2 linked regions of the Nothobranchius furzeri genome follow. The protein of the gene in region 1 interacts with the protein of each later gene in a biochemical or structural test. Links are inferred from orthologs where the notes say so. Each region holds a gene or a part of one and is shown in the gene's direction. Other genes may lie near its edges. The genes, in order: nrip1b and rxraa.

Region 1 (16,557 bases):
GTGTGTGCGTGTGTGTGTGTGTGTGTGCGCCAGTGCGTGTGTGAAGTTACTGTTTTAGTCAGTGCATCCTAAGAAGTAGGTCACGGTGCCCCAGTTCTCATTGTGTGGGCATGCATGTTTTCTGTGTATCCTTTTCAGCTGTTGTTTTGTCCCAGTTGACTCATCTGCAGAAACATTTGCTTGCTCGACTCTGCTGCTGTTCGGTAGCATGTTGCGCTCCTGTTTACCTGTTCTCGAGGCTGAGCAAGATCTTTTAAGTCTGCCTTCCTCTCCTGCACCCACTCACTTGTGGAGGTCTTGGAACAACTGCATTTTGTCAGGCAGCTTATGTTCTGCCTTATTTAATCATGTCAGACCATATTGAATTTACAAATAGCGGTCACGCCGCATGTGTAAGTGAGCTACCCCGTAGAGTGTGTGCAACAGGACTAGGCTGCAGATTACGTGATATAATAGTGTTTAGGCATCGCCTCCTCCTTTAAATTCCTTTAACCTTGACTCCCCTTAAATGCAGGGAGAACACATCTGCCAGGCTGGTGTCAGACATTAGAAATACACACCGCTCAGGCAGCATTGTCACTTTTTATTAACGCCCAGAGCTTTGCATGGACACCAGCTGTTGCATCAAGTGGAAGAGCCTTGGCGGTATGAATGACCTTGACTTTAACTGCCTCTCCTTTGGCTCCTTTCCCCTTTTCATTCTTTAGTTTGCTCTCATACATTTTAAACAACCCAGATCACCATTCTTGATGGCGATCCTTTAGAAACACCAACGATTTAAAGAAGACTGTTGGCTGAGAGGTGGAGATGATAATGCTATTGTTGTCGCTCACCAAACGTAGCAGCTCTGTTCATTTCCATGTAGAATTTGAAGGTTTGTTTTTTTCCCCAAGCAGCGGGTCAAGGAAACACAAAAACACAGAAGTGCTATCTACGACCTACCAGAAGCCAGTCCCAGACTGGTGACCGGGTTTACAGCAGCAGGTTTTTATTTAGGTCCTCTCACCGTGAGCTCATTATGGCTGGAACAAAGACGTGTTAGTTTATAGTTGTTTTCAGAACAGCACGATAAAATGATCTGCTGCTTAAGTCTAAATGTCCCTGCAGTCAAAGTCAACAGATGTCAAAATCACGTGATCATCCGTTGTTTGGTGAAAATCTGAATGAGGATTTGTTGTAAATAAGTTTCTGGATCAGATCTCGGCATGATGTGGTTCTCTGGTGCTGATGTGCATCGTGGGCGGTGGTTGAGAGTGCAGCAACCTTTTCCTGTTCCTGCCGTCCTCTCAACAGCAGAGGAGTTCAACGGAGAAAGACAAACAAATGAGGAATCAACCAGCCAGGGGATGATGTAGCCGCACCCCACCCGTGTGTGTGTGTGTGTGTGTGTGTGTAAGTGCGTGCGTGTGTGTGTGTAAGTGCGTGCGTGTGTGTGTGTGAGATACTGTAGGGGTAAAAATCACTTTAGTGCCTGCTCTGTCATTGGCTGACATTGTCAAGGATAATGGATAATCACCACAGAAACTGTAGAGCAGCTCACTGATGCTGTGGTGTCTCGCGGTGGAGGAGGGGTGGAGGTCAGGCTTTTTGGGTGCCACCACCAATGAAATGACACGTTAACAGATGTGTAAGGTCGTTCTCCATGTATACACCAGAGGAGATAATGTAATAGTAATGCACACATTCACAGTAAGGGACGAGGAGGGCCGGGAGCTTTGGGGGCTCCGTGTAGAGGACGACGCCTCCGCCTGTATTAAGGTCAGCGGGCTGTTAACAGACATTTGTAACCGAGGTGAACAGCTTGGGTTTGTTTTTCTTGTCCTTGCTGCAGCAACGTGCTTTGACACAGCCCGTATCATCACATGCCGCTCATAACTTCTTGGATTAAGTTGAGTTTGTTTTACTTTGTTCTGAACAGGGCCACCCCCCACCTCATCACAGCCGACATAATTAGAGGAACATTTTATTTCTGAAGCTAGTTGACTCAAACTTATTAACATTAAAGAAAAACTGAAGGGATAAGCCATCGCTAACTGGAGTGTGTATGTTGTGATGATGCAAACCTGATCGGGCAGATTGCCCTCCAGCTCATCACTAATTGTTCCAGCTTGTCTGTTATGTTTAGGCACATTTTATGGTTTGATGTTTTATAGACCACTGTTGAGGGGCTCAACAAAATAAATGATGAGTAAACACTTGGTCTCACATTCTCCTCTTTCTTTATAAAACGCCAAATCACGACGAGTCGTCTCAAGGACCTTCACACAGCAAACAGTCCAACACAGGTCAGTTCATTAAGCCAATCAGTAAAAAGTTTCCTGTATAAGGAACCCAGCAGATCGCATCAAGTCACTGACTAGTGTCAGTGACTTTACAGCAATCCTCAAACTAAGCAAGCATGCAGCGACAGTGGAGAGGAAAACTCCCTTTTAACAGGAAGAAACCTCGGGAGGATCCTGGCTCAGTATAAGCAGCCATCCTCCACGACTCACTGGGGATCGAGAAGACAGAGCGCACACACACACACACACACACACACACACAACATATATACCATTCAGCTTCTGAATCATGAAGAACATGACTCTAAATCACAAAGATGATCTGTGAAGGTAGTTTAAAATGGCCCAATCTTTAGGGACAATGGTCACGTTGTAAGTTAACCGATACCAAGCAGTGCAGTAGTATCCTGTCCGCTCTTTCTAGTCGTCTCTTTGTTCAAAAACATTAACAAGGTCAACGGTAATTCCAACGGTTCAGTGCCGGCAGCAGACAGATTAACAGAATTCTCCATGTTGAAACTGTGTCAGCGTTTTATTCCCATTTCCATTTGTCCTCTCGCTGACTAGGAGCCTCTCTCGCTGCATATTAGTCATCTTGCCAAGCTGTAGTCAAGGTAAACATGTTTACATGTTTACTGCACTAATCAAACGTGGCCTTACAGGCCATTCCATTATAGCTCTGTTAAGCTCAGTGGCGGGAAAATAGTCCTAATCCAGTGCATCTAAGATTAGTGTGACGGCAGACGTCAGATGGCCCAGGGTGACCAGGTTGGCCTTTGTCATTTTCTGTTTTAGGTCGTAGTTTAAAGATAACCTTAAATTATTAACGACGCCAAAAGGCCGATCTCTTTCTGTTGGAAATGGAATGCTGCCGTCTGAAATTCCAGTGGAGCTCTAAAGGTGACCACCCTAATATTCTGACTTGGGATTCGTGTGTGATTTAACCATCCTAGATTTGGTGTTTAATAGAGTCGTTGCATATCCCACCTGGTTGTGACCTGATGCTGTCCACAGAGATGGATTTGAGCCTGATTAGAAGGATGATGCTTTGTTTGTGGTCCTTGCTTCAAATATAAAGCTGAGGACATTGCTTTGGCCTTTCGTCATAAACAGGAGCTGCTCTCCTGTCAAGTGACCTGCAGCGTCGTTCCACTCGGCCCACACAAAAGGTGAAGACAGCATTGGGAAAGGACAAGGACAGCAGCTGAGCCAGGGTGGAGACTCTGTATTAATTAACCTTTGTGGGATGTGCCCAGGAATGTTGGAGGTGTCCCGTATCCACGGAAACCGTGCTGACAGGGTTCAGAGCAGAGGTCTCTCAGGGCAGCGTCTCTGACACTGTCATGGCAACTAGCACAACGTGCGTCTCAGTGCCACCAGCTCTGGCCTCCAGACAATGCCGTGCCGTGACAGGTGCACCTGATCCTTAAGCCACCAGTAATACTCATCCAAACAATCCGTGGATTGTCTCTGCTACTCATATCTCATAGCTGTAAACTTCAGTCCCATAAGACCAAGGCAGGGTCAGTTGTGTGTGTTGTCTTCGTAATAAAAGTGCTTTCAGATTGGAATAAGAATAGATTCTGTTTTGCTTTATCCCTTTAGTATTTGGTAACGACAGCCTCAAAAATAATACTGTTGAAGTGTATTTAGTCATTTTTCTTTCTTTTCTTTTTTTAGAGGGGGGGTGGGGGGGTCCTTAGTCGCGGTCCAACAGTGACTTGTGTTTATATTGCAAAACCACTAACATGAAGAAGAAAGAAGAAGAAAATATCATTTCTAAAGCGCCTCTCAAGATAAAAATTACGAGGCGCTTCACAAAAACAAAAAATGTGAAAATATAAAAAAGCATTTAGAAAATGTTTTAAAATATATTAAAATGAGCAAAAAATAGGAAATTGTGATTAAAAAAAATGTTAAGAAAGAGAGAGAGTGAACAGGAAAGAGGGAAATCAGTGGATCCTGAGGAAGCTGGAATAGGTGGGGAGAGCTGAATAAAGAGAGAGGGGTGAAGAAGGTCATACAAAAGCCAGCTTGAACAAGTGAGTCTTCAGCTGCTTTTTAAAGGAGACCACTGAGTCCACTGATCTCAGGCTCAGGGGGAGAGAGTTCCAGAGTCTGGGGGCCACAGCAGCAAATGATCAGTCACCTTTGGTCTTTAGCCTGGTGCTGCACAACCAGTAGGCTTTGATCACTGGACCTCAGGGACCTGCTGGGGGTGTAGGGACTGAGAAGATCACCAATGTAAGATGGTGCTTGTCCATGTAAGGCCCTAAAGACCAGAACCAGGATCTTGAAAGTCACCTCTTTCTGTATGACCTCATCGGTACTAAATGAAATCCTGGTCCTCTGCTTGACAACATTTCAGGTCCGTAAAACTTGACTCTTTAAGCCGTAGTTGTCAACCTCCTTTCCCATGACGGACTCTGTTTCTGTTAATGGCACGATATACATCACAATGCCCTAGTGCCAAAACACAACATGGCGGCACCTTTAAGCAGGATAATTTACAGTGCTCAGCATTAATTTGTCAAAAAAAACCTTTAGTTTCCTTTCAGAATTAACATTTTCTATGAGATACCGTGCTACAAAATAATCCCCAGTGATTGCAAACAGTAGTTGCTAATTTGCACACCCAAAACGTGTAATCATGTTTGCTTCAACCAGCTTTAGTAGAACTGAAGATCTTGTGATCTAAGTTATATTATTAAACTAACTTTCATGTTATTGAGTTAACCAAGTGTTCAGTAAAACCAGCCTTGTGAAAATTCTGGAATTTGTTCTTTTGTTCACTGAGCTGCTGATTAAGTTTGTACTTTTTAAAGGGGGTGTACACTTTTATGCAGAACACTGTAGCTTCAGCTTTCAACAACACCAAGAGGTGGAGACACTTTACTATTACAAAGGGTGATTCATGCTTAGCCTGGCCTGCCAGACTCGTCCTCTGTTTAATTCTGCACAGAGTCTGGTTGCTCACAGATAGAGAGGCTCATGAGGGGCGGGACTAGCCAGCTCAGAAATAACCAATCAGAAAAAAGGCGGAAATGCCAACTGTAACGCGTGGCGGTGTAGTTTTTTTTAGCTTTAGTCAAAAATGGTGTCTGGCAATGGCGCATACATGTTTTTTTTTTTTTTTTTTTTTTTTTTTTTTTTTTTTTTTTTTTGACGAAAGGCTTTTAGCGCTTCTACTTGTTGTGGATTTCAAGACGTGTTCAGGTCATTTAGACCAGAGGAAAGAACCGCAGCGAACTCCGCTTCAGTCGCCATCTTTGTTGTTGGAGCGTTGTGGTGTGTGACGAATGCTGCTCAGCGCTGATTGGCTCGGGTAGGATTCTCAAGGGGTGGGGTTATTTGAAGAGAGTTCCCTGATGGGGCTGGCTGGTCTTTCAAACCCAAGTTGTTTTGGTTAGGGATGCACGATCAGGTTTTTTTGCTGCCGATCACCGATACCGATCACCGATACCGATCACGTGGATTGGCCAGAAATTTTCTACAACATTATGATGAGTGCTACACACTACATAATCTGGGAATAAAGGAAATGTAACCTAATCTAAAATGGTCTGTATTAGGGTTGTCACGGTGTGAAAATTTAACCTCACCGTTATTGTGACCAAAATTACCACGGTTTTCGGTATTATCGCGGTATTTTTTTTAAACGTGATACATTTGCACACAATTAAATAAACCCTGTATGTCAGGAAATATTGTCCTCAGTTTGTGTCTAAATTTTGCCTAAAATGTGTTATTTTGTAATTATGTTGTTTATTTGTTTACATTTTCCCCTTTAGTCTTTAAAATACCAATATTTGCCCATAACTTCTTATTTTATGTCTGTTTGATGTCATTTAAAAATATTAGATCAGATGATACTCAGTACTCAAGTAGCCTTCTAATCAGATACTTTTTTACCCTTACTTGAGTAATAAACCCTATATCAGGAAAATACTGTCCTCGGTGTGTGTCCTTCCAGTGAGCTTTGCAGATTTGGGAAAATGTCATCAGGCAGTAATCATTGTTAAATTCATAATTATTCTCGGAGAGAGACCAACTCTTATCTGTCCCTGGGAGCCCCGTAATGCATAGCGTCATTTCAACATGGGGGTGTCCGCGACACGGTTTATATGCAGGTAGCGGCGCTGCGGCTGCTTTATATAGCGACTCGTTGCATTCTCCCTCAACCCAAATCCTCGGATCACGCATTTTAGCTAAAACGCTAACGTTAGCTTGCCTTGCTTTGACTGTAGAGTTGTGGGTGATGGTCACACAGATGTGTCATGAGATTTGAAGCGTTGCTGCCTTTCACAGACACTTTTTCTGCACGTGCTGCAAACAGGATAGCCGTCTTCTATAAACTCCCTCGGCATTCTTCAAATATCCAAAAGATGCCCGTACTTCCGACTTTGTCTTCTTTGAGGATAATAAATGTCCTCCTGAGCGTTGCCGTCTCCTCCTTTGACCATTATTTCAGCTTTAGCTTCAAGAAAGTTTTGTTGTAAACAACAAAGCGCGCATGTGCCGCCGGCTACTTCAGCTGATGATACGGTGGCTGGTAAGGGTCACCGCGCCTACACCGCAGCCACGGTAAACCCACCAAGATAATATAGTTTTTTAAAAAACAAGACGGTTATTATTATTGTCAACTTTTTTTTTTTTACCGGGGTTTACCGCTACACTGGTTACCGTGACAACTCTACCTGATCGGTTTGCTTTGATCTATTTTGAAAATTCCGATCAAAACCGATAGGGGCGCTATCGGCCGATTACGATCAAATGCCGATCCATCGGTGCATCCCTAGTTTTGGTCAGGTGTAGAGCAAAAAGGTGCAGCTCCTTCCTAAAAAGCAAATAATCTCCAATAGAAAATAAGAGGATGCTTAGACTTTTGCATTGATGTTACTAATTTTTTTAAATCACAGCTCATCAGATCTCCAGACTTGATCCTGTTCATTATGGCCCAGTAGTTGCTGCTTCAGAAACCTTGTGGTTTGATCAAGGGTAACTTTCCACACATAAGCGTGGCCCGGCTGCCCTGTCTTTAGCACAAAGAGCTTTGTGTCTTCAGCTGATCAGCCATTTAACGTTAAACGTGCTAATATAGGCTTCTGAGATGGAGCTCCTTGTGTCTGTGATGATTTTTCTCTTTGGCATTGTGTTAACACGCGCCTGAGCTAAGACCTTAATTATTAAAGACATTATGCAACAATTCAGATGTATTCACCTAATACTTTATACTTGTTTAATGCCCAGAGACTATTTCACGGTGTCCTCTGTGTTTTCAGACTGTATGTCCTCATACTTCTGCTCATTCGTGTATTTAAGCAAGCGTGCTTCTGTTGGTGGGTGGGTGGCTCTTACTGTAGCTAGATGAAGGGTTGTGTGGTTTTAGATGAAGCTCAATTGCAAACGGAGTCGGGGGGGGGGGGGGGGGGGGCTAATCCAGTGAAATGGCAAGCTGCATAAAGAATTATGCACAGCTCTCAGAAGGCCCTTCACTTTTGAAAGACACAGCCGTGAGAGGCTTACAGCTCAAGACCTGAATGTTTTCAAGGTAGTGAGCTTGAATTTTCAATTTGAATCCAATCAAGGCTCATCTACATGTGTTGTGTGTTGGGTGGCTGTGAGGGAAGAGTGCAGAGAGAAGGAGCCGTGTGCAGTCAATCTGAAATGTTGCTAAGTAACAGCGATGGCAGACAAGGTGGGGAAATGAATGTGATATAGTGCTCTGCAAATCCCTGCTTCTCACATGGTTTCCTATTTTTCCCCTTTTTCCTTCCCCCACCACCCCTCCCTGTTTTCTCTCTATCTCTCACTTTTATAGATCTCCCCCCTCAGCTGTGAGCTCTACAGAGACACCACTGACAGAACAACAGACAACCATGGAATGCGTCAACATCATGGTGGTGGATTCCTGCTGACTCCTCGCTTGCTACTGGCATCAACCTGAATCTTGGCCTTCTGGGGTCCTGCAGCGTTTATAGGCATACAGCAATGCCTTGGAGGGCCGCCTGCCCCAGATTGCTTCCAGGCATGGTTGCTTCTTCAGCACGTTGCTGCTTGTAGCCTCTTCAGAACGATCCAAGTCCAGCGAGCGCATCCTTCTGCTCTTCTCTGTTCTCACCTGGCGCCAAGACCGGCCCTCTTTCTGGTGACTAACCAGTGCATGACTGAACCAGATGACCCAGATCACATTTATTTTCCAGTAGCAGTGCTAAGCAATACGAGGGGATCTGAGTATTGAACATGACTCATGGGGAGGAGCCTGGCCCTGAGACACACAAGGATTCAGCTGTTCTAACTTATCTGGAAGGTTTACTGATGCATCCAGTGGTGGCCGGGCCTGGGGCCACAGCAGGCGGGAGGTCCGAGGCTGTCCACAGCAATCAGCAACAGGGCAACAAGGTGGGGGGGTCCTTCCCACTAACTCACCATGCTCCAATAGCGCCCAAGGCTGGAACTAATAGACCGACTCTGGGTTCCTCACAACACCTGAAGAAGGCTCGCCTGCTGCGCTCCGGAGCGTGGAATGATCCGGGGAACCAGCGGCTGAGTTCACCCCCCATGGACCTGAATGGCCAAGTGGGAGGCCTGCAAAACGGAACGCTGGAGGAATCCCCTAATGCTGGAGAGAGCACCCTGTTGGCATCTCTGCTTCAGTCATTCACATCACAGCTTCAGAATGTGGCATTGTCTCAGAACACTAGTAAACCCACCAGTGAGTGTCCATCTCCAGCCAAGGCTCCAGCTGCAGACAAAGAGCCCCTACCTGTTTATGGGACAGCCTCCAGCCGCTTGAAAGGCCTCATGCGGAAGAGCAAACTACAGAATCACAACAACACCCCTTACAGCCGCCGTGGACACAGCCAGGACCGGCCACCAGAGTCCCCTCGATCAGCACACAGCGCCACGCCTCCTGCTGCTCCTGCTGAGTCGGTGTCCTGTGCTGAGCGTTTGAAAGCAGTGGCTAACTTGGTGAAAATTCGTTCTAGCCCCGCCCCCTCACCAAAGCCCAGCGTGGCCTGCAGTCAGCTTGCTCTGCTGCTGTCCAGCGAAGCACATCTGCAGCAGTACTCCAGAGAGCATGCTCTCAAAGCCCAGCTCTCAGGGAGATCAGCCAGCGAGAGACTGGCTGCAATGGCCAGCCAGCAGCACGACACAGACAAAAGGCCTCCAAGTGTTGGGGGGTCTCCAGACACACTAAGCTCCTTAGCAACTCAGAATGGAATGACAACTACCACGATGATGGCAACACTCCCTCGGACGGCAGTGTCCAGTCCTCAGAGCCCATCCCTGCTGCGTGGCCACAGCCAAAGCTCCCCACCCGCTGCTCCCCACGCGCCGAGCCAGCCCCCCAGAGAGAAAAGAGGCTTTGATGCTCGTCCAGTCCGCCCACCGCAGACATGCAGCAGCTTGCTGCTGCTGCTGCTGAACAACCACAACAGTCAGAAGCAGCTGACCAAGAACGGACACCTGGAGGACATCGGTGGCCTTCTGCCTCCAAGCGGCTCCTCTTCTGTCACGTCGGACAGTGAATGCTCCACCCATGAGAGAAGCATGACCAAGGACAGCAGTGATGCTGAGAGCTCCTACTCCAGCTGTTCCCCAATTGACCTCTCCATGAGAGGTCGTGGCAGTGCTAGTGCACAAGACACTGGGCCCAAAAATGCTCCCTCTTCTTCCTCTTCCGTCACCTCTGTGCTCTCTTCCTGTACCATGGTGCTGTCTTCCACCCCAGCATCATCCTCTCCTCAAGCCAGTGCTCAGCCCTCCACTTCATCCTACTCACCTTCTTCTTTGACTGTCTCCTCTGTATCCACTGCTATTTCTTCATCCTCGTCCTCCTCCTTCCCTACCTCCTCCCTGGACAAGCTAACGGAGTCTTTAATAAACAAGTGGAAACCAGAGCCATCCAGATCAAACGTCTCCAACAACAAGGAGCCAGAAATGAGTCCGGACCTAAAATCCCACCCGAAGGTCACTCTCATGCAGCTGCTGCTCGAGCGCAGGAACTCTGAGATGGCTAGCAAAAGCAGCGGGACACAGGACTTGCCTCTTGACATAACTATGGCCACCATGTCTCAAAGTCAGCAGAAAAGACTGATGTCCTGGGAGGAGAGCAGAACCAGAAGCTCCATAGAAAAGTCAGCAGGTCCGCCCCAGTCCCTCTACTCTTTTAGTCAGGACCCGAGTGGTGCACTTTCCCCGTATTCTTACCCCTCCCCCCATGTTCAGTCCAGCCCACTAGATTTGTGTAAGTCTAAAGCCTTCCCAGCTGAGAGGTCCTCAGAGCCAGCCTTTAGTGCCAGTAAACTGTTGCAGAATCTGGCCCAGTGTGGCACCACCACCTCCTCCTCCTCCTCCTCCTCCACCCCGCCCATCCCCTCCAGCAAAGGCCTGGGCCAGGAGATCGACACCAGCAGGCCCCTGGCCTTGATGGAAAGACTTAATGCTCCAGTCCACCGGACCAGCACCACTCCACTGTCAGATGGAGCATCAGGCAGCGGCACACCTTTCATTCACAAGGAGCCGTCCACTCCCTCCTCACAGATCGAGAACCTCCTGGAGAGGCGCACTGTGCTGCAGCTTCTTTTAGGAACCGGGTCGGCCGGCAGTACCACCAGCCGCAAAGACAAGTCCAGTGGTGGTTACCGGAGGAGTACTGAGGCAGCTGGGGGGTGCTACGAGACCAGCCCTGCCACCACTGTCCTTTGTGACAGCTCTAACGAACCTATCTTAGATGTGAAGGTAAAGTCTGAGCTCACAGAGGAGGCGGGGCCACCTCCTGCCAGGTCTGAGGACTTTAGCAGCAAAAAGAGACTGAGTGGCTGTGAGAAGAAAAGCCAGCTCTCCGACCCTCAGCAGGACTTGAAAACAGAAGCGCGGCCGCCAGAGGTCATAGCTAAATACGGCCTCCTGAGCCAGCTGCTCAAACAACAGACTGCCACCTACTACACTAACTCTGCAGTGCTGCTGGAGTCCCAGTCCACACAGGTGAAGGAGGAGCAGAGGGACTATCCCAGCCCCGTCCCTAAGAGGAGACGTGTCTGCCCTGAGCAGTCAGAGGGTTTGAGTCACATCAGGTCTCCAAAAGCAGTGGACGGTGGTTACACAAACATGTCCGCCTCTCCCACTGTTCAAGTGGAGCCGGAGCAGCAAAGGAGTCTGAAGGAGGAGGAGGTTCCACCAAGCGAGACCCTCACTAGGGAGAGCCGTGGCTTCAATGTTCTGAAACAGCTGCTGCTCTCGGACAACTGTCTGAAGGAACTGTCCCAGCAGCCACGTGGGACGCCCAGTCCCGCGGCCCTGAAGGCCAATGGGAACAGTCTCTCTCAGCCTGCCCACAGCTTCCTCCACACGCCCAGCTGGCACCCCCATGGCTCCCTCAACTCAGGGCTTCCGAGTAATCTAAGACCACTGCCCACCCCTCCCTCAGACAGCACCCCCGTCCGCTTCCCATGGGTCCACCAGCCGGCTCCATGGCCTGTCGCTCAGAAGCGAGAGCCCCCGACTCTGGTCAAGCAGGAACCCGAGAGCCCGGTCCGGTGGGGCAGTCAGGAGAACGACGGAGAGGAGGAGGGTTGTGACTCGAACCCGGACTCGCCGCGGCTGTCTCGCTCTAACCCCATCCTCTACTACATGCTGCAGAAGGGCAGCCTCCAGCTGAGGAAGGAGGCGTACGATCAGGGAGACGGAGTCCAGCCTGTGGTCAGGGTTAAGGAGGAGCAGATAAGCGACATCCACGCCTATGAACGCAGCCTGAGCTCCACCCCTCAGTCACCAACACACAACGACAAGCACAGCCACGAGAGCCAGGGGCTGAGCCAGTCCTTCCAGTAAGACTGTGGCTCCACCACAGGAAGTAGAAGCTGTTCATTGACTCTATTTAATTTAGGGTTTTATTTCTGGTTTTGGGGATGAGTTGCTAAACTGGTTTTGTAAGAAAGTGTGTGGTTCTTTATCTTTTTTTTTTTTAACCATGGTGTCACTGTTTGAATCCTACCTGCTGAGGTCACAGCAGAGGCAGCGTTGCTTTGGTCTCGATGGTCCACGTGAATCCCACACGCATCACTTCCCTCTGTTGCCTCTCATAAACCTTTTACACAGAACATTTCATAGTGATGACTCAAAACATGCCAGTGCTCACTTCAGTGCACACTTTTTATTTTCGCCACCAAAGCGTTCTCAGATACAGTCTCATCAGCTTTAGACAGGAGCGCCGTCCCGGGGCAGACGCGGTGGTCTAGCACAGCGGCACTCGTGCTTAGGAGGACCTGCGGGCTCTTCGGTGAGGAAACGGAGGCTTCTCCTCGAGTGCCGCGGCTGTGGGGAAAGAACCCACCCGTGGAGATTCGCTCAGTTTTTTTATTCGTGCTGAACCTTTAAGGCTGACATTCAAGAGTGCAAATTCAGGATGCCGTGAGCAGGATGAGCGCAGATGGGTCAACAGAAACCGCGTGGCTCTTAAACTTGAGCAAATGTGTGTAAACGGGTTTCTAGAGCAACAGTCTATAGGCTGCAGCTTATCTCAGCAGACTGGTAAAACTCACACCAGTTTTCCTTGTGCGCGCGCACACACACACCACACACACACACACACACACACCTCTTTCTGTGTATGCCATAGAAATAAAACTACCTGGAGTTTGCACTTTTGAGACTGAGCCTTTTTTAACTAATGATTTCTTGGCATGTGATGGAACAGTGTCAGTATTGTTATCTGCAGAGAGAATGACCGTTTGTGAATTTTATTTTCTAGCATTTTATTCCTGTTGTGCTCGATGGACATGTTTTATTTTTGTGTCGATGTCTTGTTCATAAACTGTCAAAAGAATTGCATGATGCTGATGAAAAGAAGACCACGGTACTTTGTTTTAGCAGCAGCTGGATTCGTGACCCTGCCTGCCCACTAATCACCAAGGCCTTTGTGTCTCGAGGGAGGTCTGGCATCCAGCTCTTTATTTCTGATTGTACTGTATTCTTTCTGCTTGATTTCATTCTGCTTATCCGTTTAGTCTCGTGGTCTTTTTATGACATATATTAATGACATATGTCTGCAGTTATTAATACATTTTCACAATGATTAAATATATTTGTGTATATAGTACTTTCAGTATGAAAAATTACTATTTTGTAATGTTTAAAAAAAAGATAAGACCCTAGTTTTTAATGCCCTGATATGTAAATATGAATTCTATGCGTACAGGTGTACATATGAAGGCTGAGGATACTACACCCATCTCTTTTTGGTTGGTTGGTTCTATGCATGTGTCTCAATGTGGTAAATGATAATCTATCCTGCGCTGTGTTGTGTAACAATGTCTGACTCTCCTCACTGCTGCCTGTTGCATGCAGACGCATGGGAACTACCTGTGTATCCCTACTGGTGATGGGAGAAAATGTCAAGTCTTAAAATAGATTTTTTTTATCGCAGAGCGAGAGGTTAGCACAGAAAACGAGCAGCCTCCATATAACAGACTGAGCAAGGTGATGAAAGTGTGTGAAAAATAAACATGCATTGAATATTTTTGTGATTTTATTTTCTGTTACTGGTTAACTTAGCTCTGTGAACAAGCATGGGGCTCTAGTGTGGGATTGACGTACAATCATAGATCTGCATTGTGCATCGAAGAAATACATTTGTAGCAGCAAACTATAAATATATACATATATATGTATGTATATGTGTATACATCTATATATATATATATATATGTGTATATATATATGTATACATATATGTATATACATATATCATTAAATACATATATATATATATATGTATGTATATATATATTTATATACACACATATATATATATACATACACACGTATATATATGTGTGTATATGTATATTTATATATATATATTATATATACATATGTATATATGTGTGTATATGTATACAGATACATGTATATGTATGTATGTATATATATATATTTATATACATGTACACACACACACACACATATATATATATATATATATATATATATATATATATACATGTATATGTATATTTATATATATATATGTGTATGTATATATATGTGTATATATATATATGTGTGTGTATATGTATATTTATATATATGTGTATATATACATACACACATATATATACATATATGTATATATATGTGTATATATACATACACACATATATATATATATACATATATGTATATATATATGTGTGTATATATATATACATACATGTATATGTATGTGAAAATGTCTTTTTTCATGTGAAGACCTGAAATATTTCATTTTTTTTTAAATGTTTTCATTCTTGGTGTTCATTTGCACTGATATCTCAGAAATAAAGTACTAAAATGCATGACCTAGTATGGATGTCTTCTTGTTTTTCCGTGTTGCTTCTAAATATCAGCTTAAGAGGGAATATGAGTTTTTTTTAAGGTAAAACAAGTCTTCTGATCTGGGGATTTTTGAACAAATAAAACTTATCAAAAATTAGCGCTTAGCTTCTCTGATTTTTTGACCTTGGGTGTCCTGAAAGGCGCTTTTAAATAAAATGTATTATTATTATTATTATTTTCTGACCGCATGAACCGAGCCATGAAAGTTTTCAGCAATCACAGATCAGCTGCGCTCTCCAGGTTCAGCAGCATTTTAGTATAAATGCAACTGATTAATAGTCTGTTATTCCTCGCTGATGTTTGTGGGAAGTGTTTTGATTTGAACCAGGCCAGAGTAAGTTCTGTTGTTTTAAATGAAATTAGTCTTTCGTCCTACAGGGTTCTTCATGTGGCCGGTCGCTTTTACAGAAATCTTTAATAAAGCAGAACAATAATTAGGGAAATGTGGCTTCTGCTGCTCCCAGCACCAGACTCTGGCCTGATATGAAAGAATATTATTTTTTTAAAGAACATCAAAGCCGAACAGCTTTCTGTGATCAAATACTGGTTTATTTAAGTGGGGCGGGAGGATGTCCTGTATTTGCCCCAAAACTGGTGCTGCTGGTGTGGCTGCTGCTGTCCTCACAGCCGAGTCTTAACAAAGGCAGGAAAGGTTCGGTGAGGCGGGATGGAGGTCACCAGATGTCCTCCAAGGGGACGTCTCTGACACCGACTCAAAAAATTCATAATAGATGTGGTTGTGTTTAAAGCACTGAATCATTTAGTCTGAGAACTGGTTTGTGTTGGAATCCTGGTGGAGTTTCTCAGCCTCCAGCGTGACACATGCCAGAGGTGAAGACGAGTTCAGCTTCCTCTAACTGCTGCTGAACATGGAGTCCAGCGAGCCAACAGACAGCTTTTTGTCTGCTGCGCACTTTTGAAATGCAGCGCAGTTCCTCAGCGATGACTTCCCTTTTCATTAAGTCCTCCCCGTGACCGACTGACTACGTGCTCTTTAAACTCTCAGTAACCTTTCCCCCCCAGTCAGCTTCTCCATTCTGAGATTCTTATCACGGCTGAACCGCACTAACCTCTCGATTCCTTGCGATTGCTGAGGCGGTGGCGAACATAAAGGAGTTAAGCAGAGGTCAAGGTGTAAAACGTAACAATTGGCTGTTTGTCTGCAGCGTCTCTTTGATTTCCTGACCTCAGCAGGAGGCTGAGTGGATGCCGGAGCCGAGCACCAGAACACGCTGACCCAACTGTAGGCCAAGGACTCCGGACGTTCCTCCACACGCGTTAGAAGTTCGCAGGCCTCCTAAGTCGTTTCCTACTTTAGATGCTTTTGTGTGACCAACAACTTAATGACAGCACTTACTGTGCTCAGACCAGAGGTCATCTACAGGGACGTGAACCACTAACTGCACTTGTCTCTAGGTGGTCTGTCTGCCCATACGAAGGCCATTCAAGCCCGGCGTAAGTTGTCATGGCGATCTGTGTGACGAACTCACAGATGTTTGACTGCCCTCCTCTCCTTGGGTGTTTGATCTCTGAGCACATGAACTGACCTCACACACACACACTAAAATCATTAGACGTAACGAGCATTTGAAAGGCCTGACCCCGTTCAGAGTCGAGTGAAGTGGACGTGAATCAACGCGGCTCGTTTTTCATGACGCCACCAGAGCCGCTGCAGCAGCCAGGTGAGAGAGAGCTCTGAGTCAGACAAACACCTGGGGCACTTCTGCTCCGTGAAACCAGGTCAGGGTGGTTTGTTTTCTCGACCCGGTACTGGCTGTCCCACTGGGACCGGAGTGTTTGAAGGTACACCTCTGTCACTCAGCCCTGGGGGGTCACGGCCTTTTGGCTCCACCTCCCATCCACTGACCTGGCTGATGTCTGTTTCCTGGGATGG
Region 2 (16,829 bases), on another chromosome or scaffold:
ATAAAAAATGTTTATCATCTGCCATTTTGACATTGTCCCAATGGACCACCGACCCCCCGTCCTCTGACAGCCGGCAGGTTATAAAAATGCCAAGGCTGAATTGTCGTCCCAGTCCCCTCCAGACTCAAAGACCAAGAACCATTGATACAGTCACTAATGGGCCAGTTCTGGTGATCCTGTGTGATTAAGATTGTTTGATGAGTTTTAGTAACAGGTGTACTAAATAAAGTGCATTTGAATTCAGTTACATTGAATCTCATAATATTGTGTTGAAAAAACTTTTGTAGAAATAAAAAAATTAGAAGCTATAAAATGACATGAAAATCATCCATTTGTTATTTTATTGTTTTGGGGGAAAAAATAAACAATTCTACTCTGGACACAAAAAAAATGATTGCGTTGTAGGTGTTGTGTGCAAAACATCGGCTTCTGTGAGGTTCCCTAATACATAAAAATAGCACTATTTCTCCTTTCTGCGTCAGCTGGGCTAAACGTATTTCTGGTCCCAATATCACCAAAGGCTGTTTGTGAAACCAAGAAAAATCACTTTGATTTTGGCAAATAAAAACGTATCATTTCTATCACATCCGCAATATCCCGCCGCCTCACAGAGGTTTATTATTAGCTGTGGTCTACTACGTGTGTGCAAGCGACTGTCGGCGCTTGTTGGTGAGCAGGCAGGAAGCCACAGAAGAGGTGTCTTGTTACTCCACTTCACTCTAATGTTCCTCTCAGTGAAATTACTCTCTGTCACTTTCAAGCACCGCTGAACCTGGTCCCTTTTTTAACCATGTAGCCTGATCGCTCAGTGTGCAGAAAGTGCACATTGTCAAACACAGAGAGCAAGAGGTGTTTAACCGTAATATCCTCTGCCTGATGCTAACGCTGGCATGTGTTCCTCAGAGCTTGATGGTGTTAGCAGATAGGGCTTTGACTGCTGTGCCCACGCGGACTCTGGCCCGGTTAGATCATCCATCCTTTCGGCAGACATGAGGCCCCACTTGCTGAGCGTGTGCTGTGTCCTGTGTGTACACAAGATCTGTGGCCTCAGCGGGGAGTGTTTACCCAGCTGAAGTCCAACAGTGTCACACTCTCTCCCATCTGTACTGTGGAAAACTGGAAAGGAAGTAATTCACAACACAACTAATGAATGATGAGTCTGTGAAGTTGGGGTTTTACTAAATCTGTTTAAACAACAGTTTCACTCAACGGAATGTAAAAAATGTAAAAGCTGCACTAGCAAAAGTGTCTTCAAAAGTTATTAAAGTCTAGAAAAGAAAGTTGCCTTTGTTTGACTCAAATATTGTCATTTATGTAGAATCAATTTTCTTCCATTCAAAATTGATAGTCCAAAATTTTAAAAGATCATAAATGTATTAGGGATGGAAAATTTATCGGCATCAATATCGGTGTTGGCCGATGTTAGTCATTTTTTTACATGTCGGTATCGATCCGATTAAAAAAAACGGGCCGATATTATCAACCGATATTTTTTCCAACTTGTCTCCATTTGTTTGCCTGTTTCAGAGGGCGAAGGGGGTGATGTGTATTTGTTTAGTCACGTCACAGTGACTGTAAAGCGTAAATGTGTGTGTGGTGTGTACATTATAACGTAAATTCAGCTTGAATAATTTTTATTCTATACAATATCTGCTGGTTTTAGAAGCATTTATGTCAGTATATCGATATCAGCAAACATTGGTTATCGGCCATAACAGTGATCTTAATATCGGATATCGGTATCGGCCCAAAAATTTCATACCGGTGCATCACTAAAATGTATATATTTTCAGTGTGTTTTCTTCCTCTGAATCTATGAACCTGTAATTAGACTGAGTGGGACCATTTGTGTGTGTGATGATTGTTGAAAAGCATTTTGCAGGATATTAAAATATACGACTTGTACAAGCTAGTCTGTGCATCCTGACTACGTATTCTGCGTTTCAAAGCAGTTTCTTCTGTAACAGCTTCTGCTGTTGTTGTGCACTACTTTCCACTTCAAGGACTGTGTGTTCTGCTTTTCTAAAATCTTTTTTAATGACTTTCCTGCCTGCTGCTGTTTGGTCTGCACTATGAGGTCCTATCTACACCAATCAGAGATGTTTTATGACAAGGGCCTTGCCTCACCACTGGTAACTAAGCCACAAAATTGTTAGCCACTATGATAAATGACTTGCACTTTCATTGTGCTTTTCTGAATCAGAGGACTCCTTAGTGCTACAGTGAATCATTCATCCATTCACACACTGATGGTGATGAGCTACAATGTAGCCACAGCAGTCCTGGGAGGCACTGACAGAGCAAGCCTGCCAAAGAAAGACCCCACCGATCCCTTTGATCACCACCAGCAGGCAAGGTTCTCCAAATTGTATGATTTTGCAAGGAAATTCAGAACCTCCCTGCAAATGCCATCTGCAATTAGTCAACAACAGTCACAGCCTAGCGGAGTGTCAGCACTAAAATTTTAAACACAGGAGAAGTTCTAGCTAAAATAACATCAAACCAGATAGAGCAGTATCAGAACAGGGGCATTGTAAAGGTCACAATTTACATATCCATCTATTTTGGTGAACGTTTTTAGAGGAAAGAGGAGTTATTGGATATTTTAATGCAATTTAATCTGCAGGTTTTGGTGGGAAATAATCAAAGCAAATAAAAAGATGATGGGAAAAATATCAGCCATTGTCATCTAGAGTGTTTGACTACACCTTCAACCCTTTGTACTGTCATCATTCCCCCCCTCAATCTGTCAGCTCCTGCAGCAGTAGGTCCATAATTGTGCAATAACGCTGGCCTGAATTGTAGGTAAGAAGATGATGCTCTTCAGGGAGGATGATTCTCCCCTCCAAGATAAAACCATCCTCAGCCAAGTGCTGACAGGATTTATTGGTGTGTCTTTTTAAATGTAGCCAATTTCACTTTAATATGATATTAAAGAATGATGCATGCCCGGGCTTGACATATTCCCATCGAGGAAGTCTCATCTGCCACAGGCAGCATTCAGAACCCTAAGATGGAACTTTGGTAACCGGGCTGATGGCATCGTCGGTATAGATGGCAGCCCTCAGAATAGATGGCCCCCAATCTATTGGAAAAATATTGTGCATTTTTTCCCCTTTAACTGGGATTTGTGCATTCCCTGAATTTGATGGGCAGACATCAACAAGGGCTTTATCAACCCCATGAAATAAGTTATTGACAGAGTGAGCAGAATTTTATGTTCAAGGAGAAATTGATTTGTAAAGGTGCCAGTCGAATCCTGCTTTGTACAGATTCTTAAGTGATTCCAGGATTTAAACTGAACAGGGAAAAATGACAAGGATCTAGACAAAGTAATTTTGAAATCCTGGCTTTAAACTGTTTTCAAACACGTTTTGGAAAATTTTAATCCAACATGAGACATACATTTGAGAGAATTTAAAGCGTAAAATGTCATAAACATGACTACGCATGTAACGTAAGAATGTCTGATCAAACTTTGAGGTTGGAGGTTTTCTCTTTTTTGCCAACACTACCAGAGTCCCAAAATGAAAAACATCATTTGAAGTCACGGACAACAAAAGATGTTTGGATGTAGAAAATGGTAACTGGTGTTTAGTTCTCTCTACTTTCATCCGGCCTGTTATTTGATTACGTATGTGTATGTTGGGTCCTCCTTCCTGCCTCTGTGCTCGTCTCCAGCATTCTCCGTGTCAGCTTGTGTTGATTTCCGCAGGGGAAGTTGCCTCATTGCTATCCCAAGACAAAGCCCTTACCCTAGGGGGGTTAAGGAATGTGAACCCGGGACATTGACAATTGGGACCTTCCTCTTGGGGCAGACAATGCTGAACACCTCCGAAGGACCTAATGATCCTAAAACACTTTTAGGCTCCCCTTAGCTCACCTTTTTCTCTGCTGTGCTCAGTCAACTGGTCACATTTAAGTGGAATCAGATTTTCAAAGACAGATGTCACTTTACACCTAATCATTCAATCTGCTTAATGTTTTTTTCTTCTCTTTGTGAAAGTGGGCCATAATATTTTTGCCCAAGTATGTGGGTGCTCTTTGATTGCTTTAGCAAACTATCTCAGGAACCGCTGGTCATGTATTTATCAAACACTGAAATAGATCGCTAGCCCCATTTCCATTATCCAAACTTCCAGGTCATTATCCCGGACCTACGCAGCACGTACATGCCTTTATTTCACGGGACTGGACCAAAAGTACCATTTTCTGGGCCGTTTCAGGGATCATCCAAGTACCTGAACTGAGGCATGAACTTGTCAAAGGCCTGATAGAGTTGCTGATTGGGACTTGTGATTAACTAACTCAAAAATCTGAACATGGTGCAAATGTTCATTTAATTCAGTAATTCAACTTAAAGCTGTTATGGTGAATCTACAGAACAAGCTAGGTTTTGGACACAATAGCCTAGGGCACACGGAAGACAGATGTGCTGCGCCATGTCACACCCGCGACGTCATTTTAAAAAGAAGGCATTGTAGTTACTGACAGTGGCTACACAGGGAGCACAATCCCATGCCCCAGAAACACTGATCCGCATGGAGGCGCTGAAGACAGTGCCAGTGCTACTTCAAGCGCGGCTGTTTACGAAATCGTGGAGTATTTTACAACAGACATTACAACGCGGAGCGGCTCTGTGGCACAAACCCAACTGCCAAAACAGGGACGAGGAGCTTATGAATGCTACTTGATTACAGTATTGATAACTTTAAAGTACTATTGATTTTAAAATATTCTAATGAATTGCGTACTTACCCATTTTTATGAAATAGAGTCTCGCAAAGCACGGCCAATCTCTCTTCCAGCTGAATTCTCTGTCCTGTTCTCGACTCCCGCGTGATGTTGTTACTATCGCATGATTTTCCAAGAAACGTTCAGCGGCATAGCGAGTCGTGTGTGACCATTTGATTTCCCAAAACTGCAGCGTTTTCATGGCGCAGTGAATCTGTCATCTGTGTACCCCGGGCTAAACACGGTCACAGGACACTCACCCATCCCCTCGGGTATCTTCACTGAGACGCTTCTGCTGGAACTGAAAACCCGCAATGCTAGATGAAACTAGACAGCACTAAACACCAGTTACCATTTTCTAATCCAAACATCTTTTGTTGTCCGTGACTTCAAATGATGTTTATCATTTTGGGACTCTGGTAGTTTGTCCTAAAGTTGAAGCGGTAGCAGCTGGCTGTTTCTTTTTCTCTGATATTGAGTGGAGAACCTCTCTCATCAGTGGTGTGATCTGGCTAAATACATGAGTGTGTAATGAATGGAGGACCCAGGGAATTGCAGCAGTTCAGCCAGACCAACAACCGGATGCTTCAGTAGATGCTTTTGATCCAAACTGTGTCATTGGCGGCAGTTTTAGACAAATGAGAGAGAACCACTTTATTATTTTTTTTCTTCTTTCTTTTAATCCCCACAATATATTCGTAGCTATGTTGATAAGATGCATGAGTAAAATGTTTTAAGCTAATTTGTTTTCCAAATTTGACATTGGAGCTTTAAAAGATGAAACTAATACATGAGATAGACTCAGTTCATGCAAAGCCAGATATTTCAAGCCTTTATTTGTTGTAATAGTGATGATCATGGCTTACAGCTGATGAAAACCCCACATTCAAAACCTCAGAGAATTAAAATATTGTGAAAAGGTTCAATATTCTAGACTCAAAGTGTCACACTCTAATCAGCTCATTAATCCAAAACACTTGCAAAGGGTTCCTGAGCCTTTAGATCAGGGGTGTCAAACATACAGCCCGCGGGCCGGATCCGGCCCGCAAACGGGTTAAATCCGACCCGCGAGATGGTTGTGTAAACTTTGTTTTCATACTTTACAACGTAGAGTGAAAATAAACGTATCTTTGTGAGCAAGTTTTCTCTGTAATGAGTATAAATAAAACAAAGTTGCGCTCAAGGCTCACACAAGAACGTGAGTCACATCCTGAAGTTGGCTGCCACTCAGGATGTGACTTCTGATACTGATGTTCTGGTGAAAGCTAAAAGATGTTAAGTAAAATGAGTCAAATATACTTTAAGTGCTGCATGAAACTGATCTAGCCATGTGATCTGTAAGCTCTTTGAATCACTGAGGAATGTTTTTTTTTTTTTTTTTTTTTCAAATTTTCAAGTAAACTTCAGGTGTTGTACTTGTACTAGTTTGGATACACTGTCCTCAGGCTCCAGCTTTGTTTTATATTGATTGTATTAAAACAAAGAAAACAATCTGAAGTTGTTTTTAATTTACCGGTCCGGCCCACTTGGGACTAGATTTTCCTCAATGTGGCTCCTGAGCTAAAATGAGTTTGACACCCCTGCTTTAGATGGTCTTGCAGTCTAAGTTCAATTACTGAAATAAATTGAAGTGTTACTGTTGAAGCAGGATGGAAAGATAGAAAATAGGCAGCTGCTTTAAAATAGTTTCTAACGTAGCAGAATCCCTCCCACAATGTCTGGTGCTTTCTTTTGCTATAGAGCACCCACTAAAATGGCCTTTCTGCTGATCACTGAATGCTGGTTTTTAAGTCTCACAGCTGATCTCCCATTGCCCTGAATGGATTAAATTGTGGCAAACTTTGAAGAAGAAGAAGAAGAAGAAGAAGAAGAAGAAGAAGAAGAAGAAGAAGAAGAAGAAGAAGAAGATCTTTTCTAAAGCGCCTCTCAAGATAAAAATCACGAGGCGCTTCACAAAAACAAAAAATGTAAAAATGTTAAAAAAAAATTAGAAAATGATTAAAAATGTATTTAAACTGAGCAAAAAATAGACAATTGTGATTAAAAATGTAAAGAAAGAGAGAGAGTGAATAGGAAAGAGGGAAATCAGTGGATCCTGAGGAAGGTGGAATAGGTAGAGGAGAGCAGAACAAGGAGAGGGTGAAGAAGGTCATACAAAAGGCAGCTTGAACAAGTGAGTTTTCAGCAGCTTTTTAAAGGAGACCACTGAGTCCACTGATCTCAGGCTCAGGGGGAGGGAGGTCCAGAGTCTGGGAGCCACAGCGGCAAATGATCTGTCACCTTTGGTCTTCAGCCTGGTGCTGCACAACCAGTAGGCTTTGATCACTGGACCTCAGGGACCTGCTGGGGGTGTAGGGACTAAGAAGATCACCAATGTATGATGTGCTTGTCCATGTAAGGCTCTATATTATTGACACAATAAAACGTTTTTAATGGCATTAACGCATTAACATTGATGCCTTTTGGTGCTGATCAGCGAAGTCACCCACTGCAGCAATAGTGATGTACTGATGACTTAGTACCCTAAATCTATCTATTTCATCAAGGAATGTTAGGCTTTTCATTTTAAATTCAACAAAAAGGATTGCGATCTGGAGTGATTTTATCATGAATTATAGAAACAGACAAAGTATTTAACCAACTTTCACCTTTTTGATTTAGTCAGTGATTTGTTGGGAATGATCAAAACCTATATTTGTACATTCCTCTGAACTGAGAACTGTCGTCAAAGCCACAGAAAGAAGCCATGATGCCTTCTACGAAAGCACAAAGGACACCAAAAGGCCCATTTATCACCCACTTAAAGAGGAGAGCATGGGGGGACAGACTGTCAAAGCAACCCCAGCAAAGTGTAACGTAACAGCGGTGGTGTCCCATCCCCTGAGGCCACTTAACACACCGCATGAAGTTAAGAAACAAAAGGACATAACTGAGCAAAGATAAAGCAGTTTAGATGTGAGCGAAGATTCAAGGCCACGGCGACCATCACACCTCAGGCGTAGAAAAGAGCTAAAGGAGCCACCAGAAAAATTATGTGGATGAAGGTGAAGGGTCAGGCTGCTATTAATCACGGCTTGAGTCAAGGATTAAATAGCTCGATCCAGACGAAAGATGAGAGAAAGCGTCCAGATTGAGGTGTTTAAAAGGATCGTCTGCCTTATATTATAGATTAAGTGCTCGAGGCAAAACAGCCTTTTGAACTAAGCACAAATATAACTCACTGATCATCCAGCAATCATGATTAAAAAGTGTTCAAGCAGCGGATAGACGAGGGAAATATTCAACAAAGAACCAAGGCAGAATCAGACACTATCATTCTTTCTGCTCACATCTGCAGCTCTGTACAAAAACACACCTTGGATCGGTGCCCATTCAAACTTCAATTTACTCTTTTCTTACACACTCGTCTTTGATCTCCAGTGTGTCATGGCTTGCATTTATTATGAATCACACTTTATTAAAAGCGTGGCAAACACCTTTGAGTCCTTAATAAAAGGAGGCTCGTAACAAGAGAGCCAGAGGAAGCGGCCCTGAGTGAGACCGGACATGGAAAATGTAAAACCTGCCATGTTAGAGGAGACCAGGTGCACACAGAGTTGTGACTTGTGTAAACGGTTGTGTTTAGAACTGTTTAAGTCAGTATCTTAATGGGGCTGCAACAACTGCAACAGACTGAGAATGGCCTTTGAAGAGGAGTTTCCAAAATGTCTCAAAACATTTTGAAAATGTTTACAACTTTCAAACTGGTCACAGAGTCATTGGGGTCATGAAAGTGACAGAAACTCCATCTACAAATAAAACATAATGTTTCTAAAAAGTTGTTTTACTGTTCTTTAGATTCCTTTTCTGGTGATTTCTTTTGGAGGGTATTTGCCTGTGCCGCTTGTAGCTCTAAAGTAATCAGTTTCCACATCAACCATACAACATTTAACATCTAAGCAGCGTGGATCATAATGGAAATGTGTTCCCCACGACCACGGCGGCTCGTCCCTTCCTGTCGTGTCACACAGCTCCTGCAAATGCATTTCTGGGACTGTGTGCCTGGTAGTAACCAGGGGTTGATGAATGGCCTGCATCTTTCTGAGTCAGAGGACTCCAAAGCGCTTTACACTACATGGAATCATTCATTCACTCACACAGCGATAGTGATGAGCTACATTGAAGCAACAGCTGCCCTGGAGCAGGGAAGGGGAAGTGTCTTTGCCCAAGAACACAACTGGCACTGACAGAGCCTGGGTTTGAACCAGCACCCTATTAATTACAGGGCAAACTCCTAACCTGATCTAAGGCAGTTCACCCTCCCCACCTGTTGCTGTGGTCAGAGGGACTGGTTTTTCATTAAACTGTTTACCAGCCCATTCCTAACGGTAACATTCCTAAACCCCTTTTTCATTTTTCGTACAAAGATATTTGCTATGAATGTGCCTCCAATATTTATTTAAACTCAAGACTGAACACATGATTGTTGATCCAGAGATCCACCAGTAATTCCAAAGTCCAGATATAAAACTGGATGGGATCACTCTTTCCAGTCTGTTGCACCTCAATTATGGAATAAACAACACTGTTTCAGCAGTCTGGAGTCATTTAGACTTTCTGATTAAAATGTCTTGTTTTAGTAATCTGTTACTGTTGGTTTTTTAAATCATGTTTTAATTGCAATGCTCTGTTATTGAGGCACTTTTATCAGTAAAAGACAAAAATAAACGTAAGTTTCTGACTTTTTTCTGTGAATTAGACTCAAATTTAAAGGAAAGGGAGTAGAAAAATCTGTGCTGAGCCAACACTCCTGGTTCAGCACATGTGACCAGGTCAGAATAACAGGAGATAAGAAATGAATAGGTAGCTGCCGCTCAGCTGGTGTGGTGCAGAAAACCTCCAACTGGCGAAAAACTGCGCGTTTCTTCTAGTCCTTCTCGAGGATTCCACATGTTGCGTACCCAAGGTCTCATCGTTTTTTTTTTTTTTTTTTTTTTTTTTTTTTTATTGTTTGCGCCGCGTCGCTGCAGCCCGGAGCTCGTCGGTGGGAGTACCCCCTGCCTGCGCAGGTCCCTCTTTTGCTGAGCCGTTCCAGTAGTTGGAGTTGTTGTACAACCGGAGCGCGTCACTGAGCTGCGAGCAGCTGAGTGCGCAAACAGAGGCAGAAACGTTAGGTTATCTTCTGATACGGTCACACATCGACCTGCCACTTCTTCTGCCGCTCACAGCAGCAGTGGAAGAAGAAAGGAGAAGCAGCAGCAGCAGCGTCCCGGTCCGGCTCGCGGAGCTCGAGCTGCCGCTTGTGTGGGAGAAAACTCCCGAACACGCTCGCCTCAGCTGGCATGAGCTAACCGACGACTCCGACATGGAAACCAAACCGTTCCTGTCATTGGGTAAGTTTGTTTGTTTTATGACAAAGCCTCGCTGAGGTGTTTGTAAACGGATTTAGTTGCTCTCGCGCCGCGTAATTCTTTTGTTTCTGTTTTGACAGCGCGTGCGGCTCACCCACATGTTTGGAGCTGCTCACGCGCTTTTATACATCTCTTTAAATGTTGCTAACTGATAAAACTTTGTGTTTTATCGTTTATCTGAGAAAGAAAAGACCCAGATAAGTCAAAGTTAGGTTTAATTCCTGAAGCAACTGAGTGAGCTGATGACAACTCTGATAAGAGCTCAGACTCGCGTTCGTTTCAACTTCTAAACGTTACAAAACAAACTACTTTAAATGTGGGCCTATTTTTGTTTGTTTGGTCGCTTTAGATCATAAAAAATGAACACATTCCATTTTTAACCAGCACCTAAACTTCTTTTGAACTTACCATTTCTGAGAAAATGAACTTAATACTCTATTTTGACCTAAATCTGGAAGGACTTAGCTTTCTCATAAGACGTGTTCCTAATATATAATATAAGAGACCACTTTAATAACGTCGGTGTAACCATTGATAGGTGCCGGTAACCTCACATGTGACCTCTGCACTTAGCTCAAAGTTTACATCTGGACCATGTTTTATGGATGACGTTGTTGAGCAAAGCGTTGCATGGATCATTGTGCAAGAAATGGCACATTTTATGTTCAGCTAAAGCTTATTTTGCACAAATGTCAGTTTATGTTCATTTGAAGCTTCCGGCACATCAAAGTCAGGAAGATCCAGGTGTTTAATCTGAGGTCAGATCTAATTTGCACTAATTGGCCCATTGACGGCCCATTGACTCCCCAGCTTAAACACAGGCACACTCACCATGCTGTAAATCATTAACACTGACTGCTACTGTAAGTTTGCTAAAGTGAACACAGGAGACCCTTGTCCCCCCATACCCTCCCCCAGTATTGTGTCTGCTGCCTTTCTTCATAAGAGCATCATGTTACACCTTGACACACATCACCAGCTGCATCAGGGAGATTCTCAGGGACCTCCTGAGGCACTGGGCAGCTTTCTTCAGTTACAGGCTCTGCTCACTGACACTCCCGCCACAACACCCTTTATGTGGCTTCCCAGAAATACGCTAAACCGCCAATGCTGCACACACTGGCAGGCTGTTATTGCAGGTGCATTGTATTGTGTATCTGTAATGAGAATGATTAGAGTTTCATGCTGCCTGAACGTGCACTAGAACTGCCCATGACAGCATAAACAGACTGGAAAGCTTTAATCTAACAGTCTTTAATGGTCGGTGTAAATCTGAACCCCTTTTCCACATGTGACAGATCTTTAGTGGTATTCTCTTTGAGTCTTTAAGTGATCATTTATGTTTGAAATCACACCAGCAAAAGCAGAATGTTCCTTTGGTTCTTCAAGGACACCCTTAAAGTCCTTGGATTTATTGATTATCCGCTTACTCAGAGTAATTATCTAATGTCGTACTCCATTAGAAATCCTGACATGCATCTTTTTGAGATGACAGCGAGCACATTTTACAGTTATAGATTGGTTGTTGGCCGTGATGACGACACCTGGCTTTTGGCAGCTGATGCTCTGTACTGCATGTGTACTTTGTGCTGATGTGGTCCCACCATCAACTATTGCCCCCTCCCTGCACGTGCACACACACACACACACACACACACACGCACGCACGCACGCACGCACGCACACACACACACACAAACACACACACACTGACATCAAGCAATAAAGACCAAATGGATGACATTGGAAGGAGAGTGTGTCCTTCCATCCCAGCATTAGAGGGATGATCATGACAGTGTGTCAGTGAAATCAACAGTGAGAGATGCCAAAAAAAATCACAAGAGAAAATACATTTAGTCTGTTAATATTGATTTCTCATTTGTTCCATTGCTTTAACCAAATGTATCAACACCAAGCCTACTTTCTCTTCTTACAATAGTCATTTGTTTAATAACATTTATAGTCTTGTCAAATCTATCTTTTTATTTAAAAGCATGTAAATCACAGTAAACTGCACAATGACTGTCTCATTCTCAAAACTATGATCACCCCTGGATTTTTAACGTTGTTTAGACTATAAAGAACCAGTTTTGGACACAAAAATAATAGAAACTGTGAACAAATATGTTGGAATTCTGCAAAAATGGCGACACTTTTCTAATAAGTTTCATCTGAGTCATGGGGAGCATGACTCACCTGTGACAGTTGCACAACTGTTTTGTAATGAAGTCACAAATTGTCTTACTACACTAAACTGAGAAGTGTTCCAGACGGGGTCCACCGCTTACTCTGACTTTTTAAATGAGGAATAACGCTGCATTAATTAACACCAGTGCCCTGCAACTCACACAAGGACTTTTTGAACTTCCGCAACTGTTCTTGGACATTTTTGAAATTCCCTGTTCACAATATTCACCATCAGTCACATGAGGGTGATATTCTGGTGTGACACCTTTTTGTGTCACATTTTGAGTATGTTAAGATCTGGAATCCCATAAAACTTGCCTAAAGTTCTCAGAAAATGACTAACAAAGGTTGTTAAAGTTACAGTGAGCAGTTTCCAGGTCCTTCGCCCTAATGGTTGAAAGTGGAATCACAACTGCCGTGAACAAATCCGCTGTAGTTTGCTGTAGCTAGTGCTAACAACAAGCTAACACTAACATAAGCAAACTAATAATAAAATAAGCCACAACGTAAAAAGATCCACACTGTTGGACAAATATTATTACTTACAAGTTCAGTAGCAACAAAGCCAGGTCACTATCAGTCTATGATTTCTTCTTGTGCTTTTTTTTGAAAATGGGCAAACTGAAAATGCTAACCGCTAGTGTCACAGCGGTAAAGGTAAAGAGCGCCCTCTAGTTTGTGATCAGAAGAGAGCTGCAGAGAGGTGCCAAATAGGAGGATCTTTTGTGATGTCAGTATTCATGTTTCTCTCATTGCATCATGGGACGTGGGTGGCAAGAAACAATGCATTTTGCCTATAATTTGGTTGTTTTGCATGTTTGGAGGAGGATTCAGAAAAAAAAGATGGATCATTCTTGCTGTGTGATTGATAGCTCGGCCCGTGGGAGGCTTGATAAAAAAGTTTTATTGGAATTTCCTCTGTAAATGACCGCAAAATATGAAAGAGATGATAGGAAGCGATCCGAACTCTCAGAAGAAAGCCTGGACTCCTGCAGCAACGGACAGTTTGAGGCTCATTTAGTTCACGGTGAGTCCATGTAACTAAGTAAGAATTTGTTAATTACCGAAGATTTAAAAAAAAAACATTCATCTTTGTGTAATTTTAAATCCAGAGTCATGTTGTATTTGCGTTTTGAATCAGGTGTCAACCCGCGATCATAATAAATAAATGAATACTGATTAATGAAGACTTACCCAGCTTTGCAGTTGCAGTGAGGATATATCCTTTTTCTTTAGCCATCACCCACAGATGACGTAAACAACGCTGTGACTTTCCTCGTCAGCATTAACTGCTGCAATTTGCATGTCCATGGTTTCAGACGAGATCGGCTCAGCTTTCCTTAAAACAAAAAAATCGTAGGCCTCCAGATGATTGAAGATCTTTAATTTTTCATTAGTGAAGGGTCCAGTGCTTCCTGTTGAATAGGAATAAATGTCTCCCCAGCAGATTTGTGGAAAAACACTGGTGAATCGGACTGACGTTTTCTGTCATCCCAGAGGTCCTATGGACTTTTAACAACTTTAATTTTCTCTTTGATAAACATTTTAAGCTTCTCTCTAAACTTCCTCTTGTCTTTAGACTAACTCAACGATCACTGAGATCAGTGTTAAATCTGTTGTTACTTTAGGGATGATTGAAAGGGTTCATTGGCTTTATCTGTTTGGTTATAAACCACAACAAAGGGTCATAAAAACAGAATATTTCCATTTTCATTCCAACATTCAGTATTATAAATCATCAAAATGCCTGAAAATAAAACAAATAAAACAAAATAAAATACCAGAGCCACATGTTTACTAAAAAAAAGTATGGTGATTTGTTTTTGTTTTCTTTTTTGGTCTGATCTCGGTTAGGAACTGACTTAAAGCCAATTTCAGAGGGAACACAGAACTAGAATAAATAACACCTGAGGCTAAATAAGAAATGTCTAAAATTAAGAAATTATGATGTAGACATTTAGATATTATTCTTAAATATGAATCAAATCTATGGCGAAATACCCAGGAACAAGATAATTCATAAGGTTTCCATACAAAGCATTATTAAATATCTGTACGCTGACCTTAAATGAAGAATAAATGTAAGACACAGTCAAGGAATTTTAATGGACATGATTTGTTTTTCTGTAGAGCTTAAGCTTTTAGCGTTTCTTTACTTCTGACTCTGACACTTTTGACTTTTGGATTTCTCATCACCCTTTTTTCACTTGTCTGAGCATCTGATACCTACATAAATTCTCTGACCCTCATTTCCAAAATCAGTGAAGTTCACGGTCTTTGATGAGAAAGTGAGATTCATGGTGGTGTTTGTCTTAAGTTAGGGGGCTGAGGGCTACATTCCTCGTCTGGCAGTAACTCAGGAACAAAGGTAATACAGGGTGTGTGTGTGTGTGTGTGTGTGTGTGTGTGTGTGTGTGTGTGTGTGCGTGCGCACGCGCACTTACGTGCGTGCGTTTGTGAGTGAGTTTGTGTGTGTGTGTGTGTGCATGCGTGCGTGCGTTTGTGAGAGTGTGTGTGTGTGTGTGTGTGTGTGTGACACTGCCAAAAGCATTTGGCCAAGTTTGTCTTTTACGGCCGTCCAGTTTTGTGTTGCTGATGCGATGCTTTTGCTCTCCTTTTGAGAAAAAAGGGGTCCACAGCTGTCATTTTTATTGGAGGAGTTTTATAGCAAGACTTAATGGCTTAAAGTGACAGCTCGCTCTCCCTCTCTTTTCTCCTTTTTTTCTTTCTCACAATCTCACTCATGAGGCCTTTTAACTGAAGCAAGCCAAAGAGAATTTGCTCGCCTTCTGTGTGCCCACCTTTGACTTTCCCACCCCTCACCCATGCTATCATCTAAACTATAAAACATGTTTTTTTATTTTGCAAAATTAGGAAGCACATCAAGAACATCCTGCGTCTTGTTTTTGAACACGTGTGTTGATCATAATTAGAAAACAATATAACTTTATATCTAGAAAGAGGTTCCTTTGGTTTGAGAGAATTAGTATGATCATTTTTTCTCTGCAGTGAATCCAAAACCGTTTTAAAGCTGGACGAATCTTAGGATGACTCAAAAGCTCGTTAATTATTTGTGTAAGGAGCTGCTCTCGCAGGAGGTCTTTTATTGATAATGGACACAATGACCTTTGCACCTCAAACCTTGACCTTTGCTCCCCATATGCTTGATCATTTGAGGAATTTGCCTTTGGCGTTCAGTCCTTTTTTTTAAAGAAACAGTTTAAAGACAGTAACTTGTTGGTCCTTTGTGCCTCACTTTCTTTGATGATTTTTTTCTTTTGTCTACTCTGTTTTTGTTGCTTTGTGCTGTTAGGTTTCAGTCTGAGCTGAAGTGATTGGCATATCTGAAATGAGTCTATAGGAGTATCAAATGGTCTTCAAACACATTTTCTGTTCAAAACACTGAATAAGTTAAAAGTTGGTGTTTACATCTTAAACCCAAATAATGTGTTGTATGCTTATTTTCTTTATAAACAAGCTGCTAATTATTGTTGGGATCCTTTCCATTTACTTATGCTTACAGATGCCTGGTTGTTGCTCAGAGAGCTTTCTCTCCCTGAGTATCAGAATGGTTTTGGCACCGCTGGTTTCAGGGTTTACTGAAGGTCCTCTGAGTGTCTGAATGGCTTTTCTGCAGGCTGGCATTATTCAGGATGCGTACAGCCACTCTTTTGAAGTGGAAACATGGTCTCAGTGGGGATTTGGCCAGATCACACTCATAATTTGTATTGAGAGGAAGGTCAGTTCGCCCTACTCCATCCACAGCTCTCCTCTCTCTTTTCTGTGTGCATCACTAAATGATTTGGGGATTGACTGAGAAAGGCGATGGAGAGGAACTAGAAGTTCACCTAGAAACTCGAGTATGCGTCTTCCCGTGGCACTGGGTCCATTCTGGCCCATTTGTAGGCCAGACGCCTCTTATTGCTGATATAAACAAAATATATATATATATATATATATATATATATATATATATATATATATATATATATATATATATAGTTGACAACTTTTGTTTATACACATACATGTAATCAGGGTCCGAAATTAACACTCGCCACTCGCCAAATGCGAGTAAATTGCTCCATTTGGCGAGTAAATTTTTGAGCTCTACCTGCCACCTGGCGAGTAAATGTTTGCACCAAATTAGTTATGTTTATCAGTCATCTAACACGGATTTCTGATACTTCTCCCGCCTGCATGCAACGTACACAAACGTACGCGAAACGTGAATGCCGCATCCAACGTCATTTCCACCATCCCATTCAGTCAGTTTATCAAGTTAGCCGTTAGCTTCGTGTTAAAACTAGTGGTGAAATGTGGCGGTTTTTAACTGGAGTCAGCCAGCCTTCCAAAAGAAAACTCATCGAACTGGAAGAAAAACCACCAGGACCAGTGGCAACCAGAAGATTTTGTGAAAAGTGGCGAACTGGAGACGGCGGAGTCGTGAGACAATGGCTACATTATGATGGCCACGTAGCGTTGCTGACTTTCACAGACAGCTGTCCCTCGGCATTC

Evidence for each region.
Region 2: the proteins of nrip1b (region 1) and rxraa form a complex in vitro, tested with the Homo sapiens proteins (2 studies listed by BioGRID). The link is inferred for Nothobranchius furzeri from reciprocal best matches to the Homo sapiens genes NRIP1 and RXRA.

Annotation. Positions count from the first base shown.
Region 1 is NC_091750.1:42,795,410-42,811,966, reverse strand, and holds nrip1b (nuclear receptor-interacting protein 1), read left to right. Parts: upstream 1-8,298; 5' UTR 8,299-8,525; coding exon 8,526-12,119; 3' UTR 12,120-12,351; downstream 12,352-16,557. UniProt on the Homo sapiens protein: Modulates transcriptional activation by steroid receptors such as NR3C1, NR3C2 and ESR1. Also modulates transcriptional repression by nuclear hormone receptors.
Region 2 is NC_091746.1:41,864,264-41,881,092, reverse strand, and holds the start of rxraa (retinoic acid receptor RXR-alpha-A), read left to right. Parts: upstream 1-9,813; 5' UTR 9,814-10,078; coding exon 10,079-10,106; intron 10,107-16,829. UniProt on the Homo sapiens protein: Receptor for retinoic acid that acts as a transcription factor.